2 linked regions of the Caenorhabditis elegans genome follow. The protein of the gene in region 1 interacts with the protein of each later gene in a pairwise test. Each region holds a gene or a part of one and is shown on either strand. Other genes may lie near its edges. The genes, in order: srj-14 and F21D5.4.

Evidence for each region.
Region 2: the proteins of srj-14 (region 1) and F21D5.4 interact in a two-hybrid assay, tested with the Caenorhabditis elegans proteins (one large-scale study listed by BioGRID).

What each region holds. Positions count from the first base shown.
Region 1 is NC_003283.11:7,367,880-7,372,674, forward strand, and holds srj-14 (Serpentine Receptor, class J), read left to right. Parts: upstream 1-1,828; 5' UTR 1,829-1,891; intron 1,892-1,958; 5' UTR 1,959-2,376; intron 2,377-2,425; 5' UTR 2,426-2,953; coding exon 2,954-3,145; intron 3,146-3,192; coding exon 3,193-3,258; intron 3,259-3,312; coding exon 3,313-3,419; intron 3,420-3,467; coding exon 3,468-3,672; intron 3,673-3,722; coding exon 3,723-3,824; intron 3,825-3,869; coding exon 3,870-4,205; 3' UTR 4,206-4,252; downstream 4,253-4,795.
Region 2 is NC_003282.8:8,736,195-8,739,817, reverse strand, and holds F21D5.4 (HTH CENPB-type domain-containing protein), read right to left. Parts: upstream 1,732-3,623; 5' UTR 1,730-1,731; coding exon 1,544-1,729; intron 1,496-1,543; coding exon 1,310-1,495; intron 1,266-1,309; coding exon 858-1,265; 3' UTR 717-857; downstream 1-716. Other genes in the region: mrps-33 (Small ribosomal subunit protein mS33), read left to right, coding at 1-223; F21D5.5 (uncharacterized protein), read left to right, coding at 444-492, 540-592, 642-714, 2,837-3,207, 3,253-3,430, 3,476-3,582.

The sequences.
Region 1 (4,795 bases):
TTTTGGTTTTAGGTTTGAATGGAAATGTTAGTGTTTCATGCAGTTGTTGAGCATTTTAAAATGAACAAGTTATATGTAGACAGCTTTTTGGTATCTTTCACCGTTTAAAAGTTACATATCTGAGAAGCCTGCCAACTCGAACTTTTGGAGTTCTGAAAATTGGACGTTTGTCTGAATATCTATTTCTAGCAAATCTATCAAAAAATTTATAACTACAAAAATAATGACCAGTTATTTCTACACATTTTTGTAGTTGGTCATTTTAAGATATCTTCTTTAGCAACAGAGTTATCGCTCCTATAAGAAAAAAACCGAAAAATGAGATAATTTGATCGAAGAATGATAAAAATTCGTTGAAGAATTAAAAAACTTGTGCGGAAATTGTGTTTTTTTGTTTGATTTCTATAATATTACCATAATAAAAACATTAATATCCATAGAAAATCCATAGAAAACATTTTTTTCGGTTTTCAATTGAATTTTTTTCAATTAAATTATCAAATTTTTCAGTTTTTTTCTTATAGGAGCGATAACTCTGTTGCTATAAAAGATATCTTAAAATGACCAACTACAAAAATGTGTAGAAATAATTGGTCATTATTTTTGTAGTTATAAATTTTTTGATAGATTTGCTAGAAATCGAGATATTCAGACAAACGTCCAATTTTCAAAACTTTAAAAAATTCGAGTTGGCAGGCTTCTCCGATGTGTAACTTTTGAACGGTGAAAGATACCAAAAAGCCGTCTACACATAACTTGTTCATTTTAAAATGCTTAACATTTTTGTAGTTATTCATGAATATAAATCTGTCACGCAGTCCAAGATATACCCCTCTGAAGTAAAAATTGTCATTTTTGCTACTAATTTTCGGTACTTTTTCAAATTTTAAGATATCAAGGAGAGCTTTTCGTTGCCTGATATTTTTAATCTGCGTTATACAAAAGTTTTCCAACTGCGTGAAACACTAACATTTCCATTCAAACCTAAAACCAAACAAATCGAAAAAATTATTTTTTATTCTCGGCCACTCGAAGGCAGATGATGCAGTCTGGAAGTTGCCGGAACTGGTTGGTATTTATAAAATTTTCATTACTCACTGACTTCTATGTAATCACAAAAAAATATTTGAGAAAAAATCAAAATTGAGAAAAAACGAAAAAACTTATCGAACACCCTAATAGTAAGCAGGTGAAAAATGTGCAATATTAATATGCAATTGCAATTTCGTCTGCCATCTGTCTTCTTTCTGAAGTTAACAATGATAGCCGGAACATGGAGGAAATAACGAGAAAAATATGTTTCAACTTTTTGAAGTAACCAATTAGGTTAAACATACTTCCCACGACTGCTCTTCGTACAAATACCATCAGAAAAATAGTTTATTTGATATTGCTCTTTTTGTTCATAGCATTTTTCAAATATATTAGATTACCAATGCGGGAGTTCTAAAATATACAAAGAATTATATCTCAAACTGATGAACTGATACCCATGTTCAACACTGAGTTTTTGGGATAGAATGTGACAGAAAAACTGCCAGAATATCAACAGACATACATTAGATTTTGTCAAACAAACAAGCGCAAACCAAAATCACACAAAACTTTTTTCAGAGATACTTGAGGATTCACGACAGTTGCCCGAGTGTTCAATATCATCTTTTGAAACGTTGATACACATGACACCACTGTGGAAATTTTCAGTAATAGCTTTTTCCTGTCTGCCTTTATTAAATACTTCCAGATCATTTTTTAGAAAATGATTAGTTTTTTGAAATTTGCCTTGATTAGTTCTGTGCTGTTATGAGTGGCTGACACTGCTAGTGTAGTTACAGAAAAGAGCACCAACTGTTCTGTGGAAGCTGCTTATGAAACATTTATGTGTCTTGTGGTAAGTGATGTTCATTTTTTGAAAACTAACCTTTATTACCGTTCTAATTTTCAAATCTGTAATTTAGCGTCTGCGCGACTTTGGAGAAAAAGTAGACCAGCTCGATATGGATAAGAAAAATGAACTGAGGGAGTTTGAGAGATCTTGTGATTCTCTAAACACTTGCTTCTCTAGTCTCCGATGCCGGCCAAAATCCAATGTGAATGTGACAAGATGAATTGCTTCGTATTGTTGAAAAATATTGCGATGCTGTTGTGTACATCTACGAGGATTTTTCCAAATGTAGTGACAAGCTCACCGAAAAAAAGTCAGAGTGTTTCGACAACTGGGACCCTCTTCCAAATGGGATTCATACAGAAGAGGACGCAAAGAAGATTCAGAAAATGAGAGAAGAAGCATGTAAGACATATTTCGGAAAAGATGACTGCTTGAAGAAAGAGATTACGGAAACATGCGGTCAAAAAGAATGGAAAAAATTTCGTGAGGTATGGATATCAACAAGTTTTGTCTTTAAAACAAAATATCAATTTTCAGCATTTTGTCAATCTTTCCTACCAAATTGTTAGCAAATGTGACTTCAGCCGATTTGGATGAGCATGTGGATTTTGTAAAAAATGAACAAATTAGTTTTGATCAAACCCGGGAAAATTGTATTAACTATTAACTACAAAGAAAAAATATGTTTCAGAAACTTGAATTTGAGTTAACCTTCTCTTTGGAAGAAAAGTATTAAATTCCGATTTGATGAGAAATTGAAAAAATTGTAATTGTAAAAATAAAGGTATGATGAAGAAACATGAGCCTCTTATCTTTTTCATCACAGCCTGGTTGTTTGAAACTACGTAACTGTACTAGTTGTTTGATTTGTTTTTAATTTAGTCTGTCTTCCGAGGGGCATGCGGAAATTAATATGGTTCTCTTAAAAACAAATGGAGCTATAGCTATGTGTGCTCATTCGTATTTATGTCTCACTTAGGTTATTACGTTTTCAATTTCTTTTCTTTTTTTTTCAGTTTAGAAATTTTAATTTTTTGAATCTAACACAAATTTCTCAAGTTTAGCATGAATATAAGATGGGCTCATCGATATATTCCCGCGGCATTTGGATATTTGTCATTCGTTTTAAATCCCATACTTGGCTACCTAATTCTCACCGAGCCAAAATCCGCAACAATTGGAAAGTATCGATACTTAATTTTGTTCTTTGCGGTGTTTGACATGGTCTACTCAACAGTAGAGTTACTGGTACCACTGGTAAGATTACTAAGATAAAGATTCATTTCCAGAATTTTTTTTTACAGGGAATGCATGGAACTGGTTCAGCTTTTGTCACGTATCTCGCTCATGGACCATTTTTTGGAAAAGATGTGAGTTGTTAAAATGAACACTGAATGGTATTAACAAAATAATTAAAAATTCAGACTATTCGCCTTGCCCAGTTTGCAATTTCTGTCAGATGTGGTTTCATTGCATTGTCATATGGCATTCTCATCATTCACTTCATTTACCGCTACATCGCTCTTTTCAGGTATCTTGAAATGTTCAGCAATTTATCGATAATCTTTTAAAAATTTAGGCCTCAATTAATTGATGACGTGTTCCGGCCGATGGGAATATGTTGCATGATGACATTTTTCCTGGCCCACGGAGTTGCATGGACTGCCGTTTGCGAGCTGTGTCTGTACGCAAATGATGAAATCAGGGACTACATTCGAACGACTTTCAGAGATGAGTATGACGTCGACTCATATGACATTGCTTTCGTGGCTGCACTTTACATTGTTAGTCATTTCTATAATACAAATTTAATTGTGAATTTTTATATTTGAAGGATGGAAGCAATGAAACAAAAAACAAAAGTTGGGCTGGGATCTTTCTTCTTTTCAGCATTTCTTCGTTCGCTGTTTCGTTTTATTTAATTCTGGGAAGAAAGGTATGAATAAATCGGACAAGAACAAATTGTATCGTTATTTTTCAGATCGTTGTCAAACTGAGAACTCATACTGCACTCTCTCAACAAACTCGAAACATGCACAGGCAGCTCTTCCTAGTTTTGGCATTTCAAACAATCATCCCAGTTTGCATCTGTTTTTCTCCTTGTATGATGGCGTGGATTGGCCCAATGTTCTACTTGGATTTTGGAATGTGGGACAACTACTTTGGGGTCATCGCGTTTTCAGCTTTCCCATTCTTGGACCCTCTTGCTATAATCTGCCTGCTTCCGAACTACAGAACTCGTATAACCGGTGCATCCGTTTTCACATCAGTTTCTCCAGTGATGCCAATCAGTACTGTTCCACCTGTTTTAAATTAACAAACATACATATATTTTTACATATCCGAATAAATAGCTTCTTATATAACTTCTATAACATATGAACTAGTTAATTTTGAGCTGCTCGTCCAAAATGTTAGCTTATGCTCTGCTTCGGAGAGCTTGAAATATATCATAAAATTTGATTAGTCACAAAAAATTAACATGTCGCAATTTTTTTTTGTTGCATTTAGCAATGAATTCATTTTCAAATAATGCGCTCACAATATTGATTAGTTTTTTATTCACATACTTCTTTTTTTTTAACATCGTATGAGTAGACTTAAGAATTACAATAATGGTCAGCACCATACAAAAAAGCGTTGGTTTTTCCATCACAGAATTACGAAATAGATCAACATCAGATTTTTACAGTAATCCACCTTCGCAGTCGGAACTATACAGATAATAATTATTAATACAGCGTTTGGGGTATTGTTGTGTGCCAGCTTAAATAACATTTTTAATTAAAAAATATCATTACTTATCTACAAAAGAACCTGAGTGTTTGACCGTAGTCTGCGACGTCATACATCAGATAGAGACTGGAGTGTTGTGTCGCGCAAGTCATATTACGAGCTTTTGAAAAA
Region 2 (3,623 bases), on another chromosome or scaffold:
GTCTGCAGAACCATATGAAACCAAAGAACAATTATCACCGAAATACTATCCAAATCTTCCGATGTTTCATTATTTGACCAAAATGCTACGATTCCATGGACTATTTTTTGATGATCACGTAGTTTTCAGAGATGTTCAAGATAATTTGAAAATTATTCGCGGAAAAGTTGTTCGGCCACCAATCGGTCAAGGAAAGCGTGCACAATTGAGAGGAAAGAAGTAGTGTGGATGTTCTCGAAGTTTAAATCTAGATTAGAAGTTTTGTTGATTTTTTTTTTACGTTTGTTTTAATTGAAAATAAATTCTTTTTGAGGTTTTGCTACATTTTTCCAATAAAATTAAAGTTTTTAACACAGAAAATATCGATTATTGATTTTCTTTTTAATTGCTCCACAAATAATTGGCAGACGTTGCTTTTTTCAGCAGTTTTCAGACTTAGAATTATGAAAAGAGCAATGGATGGAGCAAAAAACGAAGCGAAAAAATCTAAAGGTTTCGATTTTGCAATTTATCTGAAAAAGTTCATCTCCGGTTTACAGATACTGATTTATTTGGACGACCACTGAAAAAGACTGGATCCTGGGAATCAAAGGTTTCAAAAATAAACTTCATTAAAAAAAACTAAAGTCTGATTTTTCCAGGACAACGGCGATTTGATGATTTTCACCCATTCAGAATGTGAAGGAAAAGAGAAAATTGCCGCATTCGATATGGGTAAGAATTGGTCACATTATTTTATTGGCGAGATTTAACTTTCCATGAGTATTCCAAATTTTGATTATGAATATCAGATATGAATTGTTTCAATGGAAAATAACATGCTATAGTTTTAGAAAAATATGAACGATAACAAAAAATTAATAAGATTTCGGAGAACGGTTCACAGATGTTTCGGTTTCTTCTACACTGTCTTCCTTCCCATTAGAATCCTTAATAAGCATCTCCAATTGTTGAAAAATGTTTATTTCTGGCAATTTCGATGATTCATTTGGTTTCTGTTTTACTTCACTCTCTGTGGTTGTACTATTGTTTCCCTCGACTTTTAAACTAGTTTCTCCATTTTCTGCATTAAAATCTTCTAGGAATCCTGAAACATTTCCTTCTGATATATTCTTCCATTCATCACTGTTAATTAGTTCAAAAAGTGATTCTTCAAGCGTTTTGTCTGTTGTGCCATCACTAGTTGATGGCGTTTTTGGGCTTGAACTTCTTGCTTTTATCAATCCGTGTCGAATCATAAATCTTTGAAGCCAACCATTACTTGCCTAGAAAATATTTTATTCGAAATTCGAGTTTAAATGTTTCAAACCTTAAAGTCTGCATTTCCATTAATTTTCTTCGCATATTCCTTGATATCTTTTCCCGAAATTTTCCCGTTTTTCGAAGCAATCCAATCTTCAACTTTCTCATCTAATTCCACATTCTTTAGCGGTCTTCCTGCTCCACCGAGCCTCTTTGCTCCTTGTTTTCCTTCTGATTCGAATGCTAATTCGTGCTGAAATTCCAGAAATTTGTTGATAGAACTACTGTAGTTCAGAAATACCTTCAAATGTCTCCATCGTTGAATACAAGCTCTTGCAACTCCATATTTCTTCTGAGCTTGACAATTATTTGTTTGTTCAGCAAATCGAATAACTTCATTTTTGAATTCGAGTGTAAAATTGGCACGCTTCTTTTTTGGTGGTGGCTCGGATGAAGTTTCAAGTATTTTAGGAGAGATTTCAGTCATTTCTGAAGTTTAAAGCTGAGAATTCTACATTTCGGTTAGAATAGTATTACTCAGATTCGAAATTTTGCGATTTCCTACGCAAAAATGCGATACTAGGTCTTGGCACGACCGAATATCCTTTAAAAAGTACAGTAATCTCCCTGCCTCATTGGTTTGATTTTCCGATTTTCACATTTTTCCCAAAAAAAAATTGTTTTTTGTGAGACAAATCAAAAAATACTAAAATTTTATGCAAAATTCAGGAAAAAAGTCGAAGATGAATAAGTCAGAACAGTGACTCGTAGAGGTTACTGTACTTTTTAAAGGTGCACTTTTTTTCATATAAACTTATTCCGCAGTGTCAAGACCGAGTATCGTATTTTTGCGTTGAAAATCACAAAATTTCGCATCTGTGTAATATTTACATTTGCATCTTTAGAAAAGATAAAATAAATAAATAGAAAAAAATCAATGAATTCTAACGTCAAGAAGAAGGGAGTGCCGTTTTAATAGAGGGTGTCCACACTTCAAGAGACAACAGACAAACATTCAGAGTGTGTATGAAGATGAAGAGACACAGACAAACATACTATGCCTGTCTAATGGAGGGAGGCTGTGACCTACAATTAGAGAACACAGACGACTAGAAATACTGAGTGGTGTATGGATATATTTTTTGATTTTCTTGTTGTTGATGAGTGGGAAAACTCACGTCTTCTATCAAAAGAAAACACATATTTTTGGCGCAGAATTGATAATTTTCACGAAATATGAAATTAGTATCAAGAAACTTGGCCTTACTGAGACTATTCAAGCAGTGAGCCTCTGGCTCGGTACATTTATCCCTTGAACCTAAAATTGTGATGTAATTTCCATTTGATTTTCTTCAAATTAAGTAGTTTGCACAAATTAATAAAAATGTAATACTAATCAATTTTTTTTTTGGTAAATTGCCAAATTTTTGTGGAAATCCCTAAAATTACTGTAGATTCGAACCCCTACAACTATTTTTTGTCGATCTCCACAACAATAATAGATGAAAACCTGAAAAAGGTTAAATTTATGAGTTGTTCTAAACTTTCTAGTGTATGAAAAAAATATTTTTGTTTAAAAAAATCGTATTTTCAGACGGAACTCTGATCAAAACAAAGTCTGGAAAAGTGTTTCCAACAAATTGTCAAGATTGGCAACTTCTATATGACTCAATTCCATCAGATTTCAAAAAATTGCATTCCGACGGATTCAAAATTGTCATTTTCACAAATCAAAAAGGCATCCACGCTGGAAAAGTTGATCGAAATGAATTTAGGAAGAAAATTGAAGCAATTGTTGGAAAACTTGGAATACCTGTTCAAGCATTTGTTTCAGTTGCTGGGGGACACTATAGAAAACCATGTGTTGGTATGTGGAATGAGCTGAAATTGAGAAATGATGAAGTGGAAATTAATGAAAAAGAAAGCATTTTTGTTGGAGATGCTGCTGGAAGAATCAAGACTACAGTACGTGTGAATAGATTCAACTTTCATTTAATTCTAATTTTATAGAGTCGTCCTAAAAAAGATCACTCATACGCAGATCGTTTCTTTGCTGCAAATGTCGGTGTTAAATTTCAAACTCCAGAAGAATTTTTCGGAAAATCGAAAGTTGATGAGCCCTGGGGACCACCAAACTTTGATCCAAAAAATCTATTTTCAGAGGAAATTACTGAACTTGAACCTCATGGTGAAATAAAATTATGAGAAAACATAAATATAATTATATTTTCAGATGCTCAACTTAAATCATCCGAAAAAGAAATTATTCTAATGGTTGGATTTCCCGGTTCAGGAAAGTCGACTTTTGCTAAAATGCTCGGTCATCAACATGATTATAAAGTAAGTTTTGGAGCATTTTTCAACTCAAAAATTTTTGATTC